Saccharomyces cerevisiae S288C: one gene and its partners. The protein of the gene in region 2 purifies or fractionates together with the protein of the main gene of each other region. This does not show direct contact. Each region holds a gene or a part of one and is shown on either strand. Other genes may lie near its edges.

Region 1 (3,370 bases), on a different chromosome or scaffold from region 2:
CCGTTGGAGCTACCTTTATTTGGCAGATATTAGCTGCACTCAAAGATCCTCAAGAAAAAATGAGTGAAGCGCAATTGCAAATGTTGGGACTTTTGCAGATCGTGAAGAGAGTATTTCTATTGGATGGTATATACTCGTTAAAGGAACTGTTGGTAGAATACCCAGAGTATGATTGTTTTACAAGACTTGCCTTCCCTGATGGTATTCAAATGTACGAGGAAGAGCCCTCGAGAGTAATGCCTTACGTGAAGAAAGCCCTTTCTCGCTTCAGTATTGATATGCACCTAGTGCATTCTTATAGCGACGAGTTATTAACGTTAAGACAAACTAATTGTTTAATTTCTTGTCTTCAGGATTATCAGTTAAGTTTCAAGTTGTATTTGGACGATTTGGGTTTGCATAATGATGTTTATAAGAATGGTAAAGTTGCGAAGTATATTTTTGACAATATTTGTTGATAGTTGATTTTATTTCTGCATTTATATATATGTGTGCGTGTGTGTTTTATATATAACTGCCAATGGCCTAAACCCAGATGGATTGGCCACGAGCTTCCATTTTTTTGCCCAGTTTTTCTACTTGATCGTTCCATTCAACCAGTCTGTCCTTCATCTTTGTAATTTGGTCACCACTTATGATTCTTGGTTGGACCCAGGAGATGGTAACGAGTTCATTTACTTGGTCAATAGAACCCTTTAATAGACCCAAACTTATGGCTCTCATGACCAGGTGTTCGACATTATCCTTTGGTAGGTGTGTAGCCTTTGAAATATCTTCAAATGAAAGCATCCTAATATTTTTGACAAAAACTGTTTCAATTAATGTCATTAGGCAAATTTTTTGTCGTAAAAATGATTCATGTTGAGCCAATATAGGAATCTTTGATATTTGAACTTTTATCAATGAGTCGAATTTATCAAAATCACCAACGGTTAGAGCATTTAATAATTGGAAAAGCCAATCGTAATTGGAATCGTTGACTATAGTTTCCATTATTGGATGGTGTAATAGTTCGCCAAAATTATAGATTTTGTCACCTAACAATGCTGAGATACTCAAATCATAGGCCAATTGTTGACGTTCGGCTAAAGTAATGCTTGTAGATGGTTCTAAGGTAGAAAGGTATAATAGACTTGTGTAGTAGAAAGAATTGAAATCATTTTTAAATTTAAAATACTGGGAATTTGTAGAATAGAAGCTGTTTGTTATCCTTAATGGAATGGAATCCTTTTTATCCAATGTCTTTTCCAAATCATCTAATAAATCTCTTGCCTTAACGAGGTCGTTCTTTAACAGGTAAGTTCTAGCAATTTCGCTATCTATCAACAAAATACCATCACCATGGTCTTTTGATCCATTATTTCTTTGTTTTTTAGAGTCCAATTCTTGAAATTGAGCCTTCAAATCATCCAAATATTTTAAAGACTCATCGAAATCCTTAGAATCCTTCAAAGAGGCAAGTAGATACTTTACTACTGACAATTGGTTGATTTTATCATAAAATTTAGAAACGAAGTTATCATATAATCTGAGCCTCAATGGTGTAGATTTAGCATCATCAAAAAATTTAGTCAAGGATTCGGACAATTGGAACCACAATTTCTCTTCATAAAATTTCTCAAATTGTTCGAATAAAGGATGCAAAGAGGGATCTGCCTCCATGCGGAGAGTGCTTAATATGGTGTCAATTTCATGATTATTAAACATCTTGCGAAATATAATGTGGTTTCCTCGCGTGTGCCCACTGTTTGCTTTTTGGTACTTAATAGTTTCTTCAATCTAGGTCTAGCTTTTATTTGTTCTTACTTTTGCCACCGGATGAAAGCGGGGAGCGGGTAAGAATGAAAATGATAATAATAGGATAAATGAATGTGTGTATTCAAATTTTTCTAACGTATACGTTATATGTATATATATATATATATATATGTATATGCTATTTGCAACACGATGCGTGACGGTAATGCTTTTTATAGGGCCTCGTCGATTTGTAACTTTGCCAGTTTCCAATTCTTCAGACATTCTTTGATCCATGCTTTGAAGCTAGCTGCGAAAAGTTTCAAGATCTTTCCAATGGTCAAATTAATATGGTTATATGTATGCATTAAGCTGTTGTATGACGAATTGTTAATTTCTAGCATGTCTGATATACAGATTGATAGACAATCTTTCAATTTGGATAAATCTTGGTTCAACTGTTTGATCTGTTTAGATCTTTCTTGTTCAGTCAATTGTTTGATTTCTAATTTATTGAGATTCATTGTTGGCGTAGACGTTTTATAGTTTAGTTTACTTGCGCCTATATGAATTTCGTTTTGGTGTCCACTGGAGCTTGAATTTGAACTTGACTTCGATAGCGATCTTACGTCCTTTTTAACAAATGTCAGGTCAGCAGCCTTTGTATCTTTGTAATTTTCATCTGTCAATATAGTCGACCGCGTTAAACTTTCATTAATCTTCTGCAGTTGGTTTTCAATCTCAGTGAGACTCGAAAGTTTCGTTTCTTTTTCGATAATTAGCCTCTCTAATATTTTAAATTGCAAAAACTTTAATTTCTTGAAATTTAGAACTTTGAATGACTCATTTAAGAACTGCAATAACTCATTAATGGGGTCCTCAAGAATAGAGGTGTACTTTTCTATTAAGATCTCGGAAGAAATGTATATAACATCGAATGAATGGCCTGTCTTTTCAATATGACTAATAATTTCCATCATTGGGTTGTTTGAATTGTTTTCAGATTCGCGAAGGCTGTTGGGCATGGTTATGTCATTTTCCAAACTAAAAGCATTATAATATGCGCCTAATTCAGCAAAATACGTGGACAAGGAGTGGAAATGAGATTTATTTGATCTTATGTTTTTTAATAAATGGGTGATTATTCGCTTATAATTTTGGAATAAATTTTCAATATGTGTAAATTGAGATTCGTTTTGTAAAATTTCTGTTGGGAGGTTGGAAATTTCATTATGACTTTTTACTGTGATGTGTTGTTGCCAAATCGAATTATAGTTTCTCAGAGACGAGTTGGATGGAATAGGTAAAATAGAATGAAGGGGGCTTGGTTTTGTTGGGCTTAAAGGTGGAGCTAAAAGGTTATTCAAAGGTAGTATGATTATCGGCGACGAACTTAAAACATCTTTCCAATTAAATTCAGGGTTTAGAAATTTTTGAAAAACAATATCGTTGCTTATTTCTTGAATGTTCAGACAGTTAGACAAGAATGAATTGAGCATTTTCTTCCTGGTGGAGATAATTTTGGAATCATTTGCTGCGTTTATGGGACTCCATATGTATTTGAGAAGAGAATGCTTGGATGGAATGGGTGGAATAATTATCGTAGGAAGGAGTCTAGTTAGAGATTGCCTCA
Region 2 (2,965 bases):
GATTGGGCCGGAAATCCGGTAAATTTTTGCAAACCTGTTGCGAAACTTCCAAATGACAAAAAGGCTCTAGTCAAAGCTGCTGTATCAGGGAAACCATATTTTTTCTTTGGATCTGATTCAGCACCTCATCCTGTACAAAATAAGGCCAATTACGAGGGTGTTTGCGCAGGAGTTTACTCACAATCTTTTGCGATCCCTTATATCGCCCAAGTTTTTGAAGAGCAAAATGCCTTGGAGAACTTAAAGGGCTTTGTTTCCGACTTCGGAATTTCCTTTTATGAGGTTAAAGATAGCGAAGTGGCTTCTTCAGATAAGGCAATATTATTCAAAAAAGAACAAGTTATCCCTCAGGTTATCAGCGATGGCAAAGACATAAGCATCATCCCATTTAAAGCAGGTGATAAACTAAGTTGGTCGGTGAGATGGGAACCTCGTTAATATGCAACAATATGTAGGCTCATTTGAGAGTATAGACCATATATACATATTTATGGGAAAAATAAACTTACCTTCCAATAGAAGTTATAGATGCCATCATCATGCCTATTGTTATGGTCCGTATCTCTTTACAGAAGTTCACAGCCAAATGCGTTGATATGGTATATTTTTTCTCTTCAGTTTTTTATCAAAAAATGCCACAACCTTGATTTAATCTTGCATACTAACATCCACATCTTGAGCTTTTTGCTTTTCGTCATTGCTTTCTTCCTCATCACTTTCACTACTATTATTCAGCACTCCAATCATCTTATTGTAAATTTCTTTATCTTTCGCACTCAATTCATTTAAGGGCAAATTACCTGAGTTCTTCTCTTGCAGCCAAAAGAAGTACCTTTCGTTGGATGAAAAAACTAAAGCAAATATTCTGCCACTTTTACTGGATTTTATTGGAACCCACATGGTCTCTCCAGGAATTAAAATCAAAGAAATAGGATCAAGTTCCCTCCCGACCGGCTTTTCCGTTGGACGCCACTCGAAATCCCAAAATCCCAATTCTTCCTCTTCATTTGGTTTGATCTCGATTTCACCCTGAACTGGAATTGGCGTACATAGACGTGAATCTTCGTTGTATTCACAAACACCAGCCCTGAATTTAATTACAGTTGAACTCATACTCATCAACACTCTTTTAAAATTTATAAGTCAACCAGCACTTAGGTAGTTTTCTGGCACCCTTATAGAACCTAATCTACTGGTCATAGTAGAGTATTTAGTAGCAAAGCTTTCGCCACCTCGCGAATAATATATCACGAAATACGGAGGAATTTTAACTGAAATATATCAATAACGCATATCAAGGAGGGGATGACTTGATGAGTTGAAAATAATATAAATGGTTCAAGCAACCGTTTGTACACCACTCAGTCAATTATTGCTTCAATTGAAATTATAGAGGACCGAAGATTAGTCATATAAAACAGGGGTCTTTTTTTCTTTAGGGAGATTACTATTACAATGTCGCAACAGGATTCACAGCGCTGGCTGCCCACGGATCGGCTAATATATGGTGTGCTAGTCAAATCTTTCCTTCCCTTACAAAGGTATCCTGAGCTGGTATATGAAAACAGCAATTATGCGAACGTTTATGTGGGTGCAGAAGTTTACGTCTTCGAAGAATCTGTGGATAAGAAATGGTGTAGAGCGTACCAATGTTTACGACCCTTTCCTGAAGAATTCATATCGAATATGAACTCGGCGAATGATGTACTGCCAGACGTGAAACCGAAAGTAGTGATATTTCCTAGAAAATATGTTCATTTTGAAGCAGAAAAAGCCGTCAGCACAATGCCATTTTTCAAAGCACCTAGTGCTGAGGATTTTAAACCATTGATAAGTAAAGAATGTGAGTCCCGCTCCTTTTGTGACAGCCTATATGTTAGCTCTACTGATGATATATCAACTGGTAAACCAAGAAAGACACCGAGACCTCCGTTCCCCTTTTTCAGATACCAAAAGAGGTCCTTTAAGGACGAAATGGGTCCTATATTATCTCTTATTTCCTCGCATGTTTACTCTATGTATTCAATTGGCGAGTTTTCTATATATAGGAAAATGATAAAACTTTATTATGATTTGGACACTATACGATTTAGATTGTCTATGAATTTAACCACAGAGGCTGAGAAAATAAATCTGATAAGAGCAGCAACATCCCTAAGAACTAAAATCGCAAAATTTTTGTCCTCCACATACAGGAAGAATAAACTAATTGCTAACTCTACTCCAAGAAACCCAGATCCTTATGGTTTCGAAGGAATTTTTGCCAGGGATATTGATACTGGCGAATTGCTCTCATACGAGATCGACAAATTAAGAACTTTAGTGTCATCGTCAATGCTTTGTGGTTTAACTAATAATTTTCCTACTGTACCTGTGGTAGAGTCCGATGATGAGTCCTCATCTAACGGACTATTCGGCACAGTTAGATCGAGCATTTTGGTTAACTTGAAAGATCTGGCATGGGATCCCTCTATATCAGATCCTAAATATCAAGATCTTTCTATTTGTGTATACTTGAGAACCAAAGACGAAGTTTTAACAGAGTCTTTTACCATGACGAAGTCGTCCAATATGGAATCAGCTCTAGATGAAATTCCTGCAATGTTATTCAAGAATATTTTGGAAACGATAGTCCATAAAAATAAAGTATACTTAGTAGTAGTGCTGAAGGAAACAATAGCAATTACAACAGAAACTGCTCCGGAAATTTCATCTTACAATATATCTACCGAAGAGTCAAGTTCACATTCCCCATTTTCTCCATTTAATTCATCGACTGAGAATAAGATTGACCACGTAAAAAAGGGCTTAGCTGCCGGAGTTATTAACATATCTCCGGTATTCAAGTTTTATAACGGCCTATCAGTTGCGAATAAAGCTCAGAGGTTTAACCTTTATCTTTATAGCTCCGATTCCTCGGATTCGCAAAACTTCAACTCTTCAAAGGATGCGGATTTAGGTTGGG
Region 3 (3,112 bases), on a different chromosome or scaffold from region 2:
CATCAGGAACTCACCCAGAGGTGGTATAAGAGAATTTACGAAATTGAGCAAAGAAGGTTATTGCTTTGATTATGACACTTATAAAGAATTGATAATTAAACGAGCTATTAACAAACAAATTATTGACAAGTGCTTAGAGGTATGCCCTGATTCAATTGAACTAAAAAATATCGTAAATTTGATGATTTCAAAGATTCCTGGTAGGAACCTAACCCAATTGATAATCAATAATCCAAAATTTAGCAAAGTTTTTGTGCCAAATTTAAGAAATGATTCTATGTTAAAATTAATCGAAAACTGCGAATCTTTATCGAATTTCATAAGAATCTGTGATTTCCCAGAAAAGTTCAAAAGTATTGCTATTCAAGCCGAAAACAAAAATGCTATTGAGCTGATTTATGAAAGACTGTTTGACGGCGGTAAGTACGCAGATATTTTGAGATATAATAATATTGTTCCGGTGTTAAATTTGGAACTTTTATTAAAATCTTGTATCAGGTCTGGTGAATTCAAGAAGTATGAAAGTCTCTCTAAAAAGTTTAATGACAAAATAAGCGAATCATCAAAAATTGATATTCAGCTAGAATATTTAATTAATAAGAATGATTTAAAAGGGGCATTCACGCTGTTTGAAAAGACTCCAAGGGAGCTGAGAACCCCCCATAAGACTATGGACCTTTATACATTTGCCTTATTTTTGGATAGTTTCAATAGGAACATCACGTATTATGAAAGTCCGGAAAATACATTACAATTCGCCAATATTTTATCCAGCCAAACAAGCTTCATAAATTTACTATCGACGTACAACTTAATTGCCCATTCAGATCACCTCATGAACTTCAACGTCGGTGGAATGGCAGCAAAAGTTAAAAAAGAAATCCTGAATCAAATGCTAAACAATTTGTATGATTCCATCAGACTATTGTCTCCCAGCATTGAAAATGACAAATCAATGAAGGAAAAATTGAGAGAAAAAGTAAAGAACTACTGCAGATTCAAAGCTTATTTGAAGTCACCTGAATTGGACATGGATGAACTGAAGACCTTGGTTTCAGTCGAGTCTTTTTTAAATCCTTTCACTCCTTCAATGTTGTTCAATAACTTGATCGAAACTATTTATATAAACGAACACGCTTCCTCGTTAGTCCTTCAGAATGGGTTGATCTATTCACTCCAACAGAAAGGTCTCAATAAGATACTGAGCTATCTAGAAGAAAGCTTCATCACTAGTGGAAATGATGCCAATATTGAAAAGGTCAGGGAATTCAGGTCCCTTTTAAGGAAGAGCAAGCCTCTTCAAGCATGACCTTTACAATTTGATATTTTATTTATTTCACTGTTATAACATAATTACAAGTAATTAATGTCATATAATAATAATAATAATAATAATAATAATAATAATAATAATAATAATAATAATAATAATAATAATAATAATAATAATAATAATAATAATAATAATAATAATAATAATAGTAATAATAACGTCTATATAAGAAGTATCTACACCATTGCTTACGCTTTTATTTTTTCCTTTCGACGTGAAAAGCGATAATAGCTTATTAAGGTGGCAAAATTGTCCCCGGCCCCAATAAGCTGAGAGTGGAATAGGTGAAGCATTTTATATTTTTAGTTTCAATTAGTAGTAAGCAACCATAAGACACCAATCAACACAGTTCTATAATTATGACCGACAGATATTCTTTTTCGTTGACCACTTTTTCTCCCAGCGGTAAATTGGGTCAAATTGATTACGCCTTGACGGCAGTAAAACAAGGTGTCACCTCATTGGGTATAAAAGCTACGAATGGTGTAGTAATTGCCACAGAAAAGAAGTCGTCCTCGCCACTGGCCATGTCAGAAACACTTTCGAAGGTATCCTTACTAACACCGGACATTGGTGCAGTATATTCCGGTATGGGGCCTGATTATAGAGTTTTAGTGGATAAATCAAGAAAGGTAGCACATACTAGTTATAAACGAATTTATGGTGAATACCCTCCCACCAAATTACTGGTTTCTGAAGTAGCCAAAATAATGCAAGAGGCTACACAGTCCGGTGGTGTCAGACCCTTTGGTGTTTCACTGTTGATTGCTGGCCACGACGAATTTAATGGGTTTAGTTTATATCAAGTGGATCCTTCCGGTTCCTACTTCCCTTGGAAAGCCACCGCTATAGGAAAAGGTTCTGTGGCGGCAAAAACGTTTTTAGAGAAAAGATGGAATGATGAACTGGAACTAGAAGACGCCATTCATATTGCCTTACTAACGCTGAAGGAGTCGGTAGAGGGCGAATTCAATGGTGACACCATTGAACTGGCTATTATTGGCGATGAGAACCCTGACTTGCTAGGCTACACTGGTATTCCAACCGATAAAGGCCCTAGATTTAGAAAATTAACTTCTCAAGAAATAAATGATAGATTAGAAGCATTATGATGTTATAATTATCCCCGCCAATCACCCATCTCACTCAACTTATCCAAAAGAAAGCCAATTGTGTATATAACTTACATAACCTTTAAATGATTTTTTTCTAATTATTCCAGTATTACTATTCTACACAATGCATAATAAATAGATATAAAAAGTGGAATGTGCCACATATGCATTTTTTTACCACCAATAAATATCAGTTACTTAAATGGTGCCTTCAAAGGATCAATAACTTGGCCTGGCTTAGTCATGATTCTCGGTTTGATAAGCTCTTGATGAGATGCTCTGGATGTCCATTCTTGACCTATCGGCATACGTAAAGATCTTTCATATTGTTCTCTATTTTCGAATGGGAATGGTACCGCTGAAGATTGGTATTTCAAGTTTTTCTTATTAACTTTTTCATTTATGATCACATTTTGTAGATTCTTATCTCTTCTTTTGTCTTTATTAACAACACCCTTAACCTTTTTGATGAATTTACGCTTCTTATTTTTTGGTTTAGAACCTGCACCGGCCCATTCACCCCAACCAGGTAAAGTGGTATCAACTTCTTTATCATCTTCATCATCAATGACACGTTTCTTTTCCTCCTGAAATTCTGCTACCACGTCGTCGCCAGCAAAGGCTTCCGCAATGACGTCTTGCTGCTTGAACATGAATACATTAT

The links.
Region 1: the proteins of RPN13 (region 2) and RPN9 purify together in Saccharomyces cerevisiae (affinity purification with mass spectrometry; 3 studies listed by BioGRID). This does not show direct contact.
Region 3: the proteins of RPN13 (region 2) and PRE8 purify together in Saccharomyces cerevisiae (affinity purification with mass spectrometry; 2 studies listed by BioGRID). This does not show direct contact.

The regions. Positions count from the first base shown.
Region 1 is NC_001136.10:1,320,542-1,323,911, reverse strand, and holds RPN9 (proteasome regulatory particle lid subunit RPN9), read right to left. Parts: upstream 1,708-3,370; coding exon 526-1,707; downstream 1-525. Other genes in the region: BNA7 (arylformamidase), read left to right, coding at 1-458; SNX41 (Snx41p), read right to left, coding at 1,971-3,370. UniProt on the Saccharomyces cerevisiae protein: Acts as a regulatory subunit of the 26S proteasome which is involved in the ATP-dependent degradation of ubiquitinated proteins.
Region 2 is NC_001144.5:964,442-967,406, forward strand, and holds RPN13 (proteasome regulatory particle lid subunit RPN13), read right to left. Parts: upstream 1,120-2,965; coding exon 649-1,119; downstream 1-648. Other genes in the region: URA4 (dihydroorotase), read left to right, coding at 1-438; guanine nucleotide exchange factor DCK1, read left to right, coding at 1,456-2,965. UniProt on the Saccharomyces cerevisiae protein: Component of the 19S cap proteasome complex which acts as a regulatory subunit of the 26S proteasome, involved in the ATP-dependent degradation of ubiquitinated proteins.
Region 3 is NC_001145.3:85,320-88,431, reverse strand, and holds PRE8 (proteasome core particle subunit alpha 2), read left to right. Parts: upstream 1-1,692; coding exon 1,693-2,445; downstream 2,446-3,112. Other genes in the region: RPM2 (ribonuclease P), read left to right, coding at 1-1,309; UTP14 (Utp14p), read right to left, coding at 2,643-3,112. UniProt on the Saccharomyces cerevisiae protein: The proteasome degrades poly-ubiquitinated proteins in the cytoplasm and in the nucleus. It is essential for the regulated turnover of proteins and for the removal of misfolded proteins.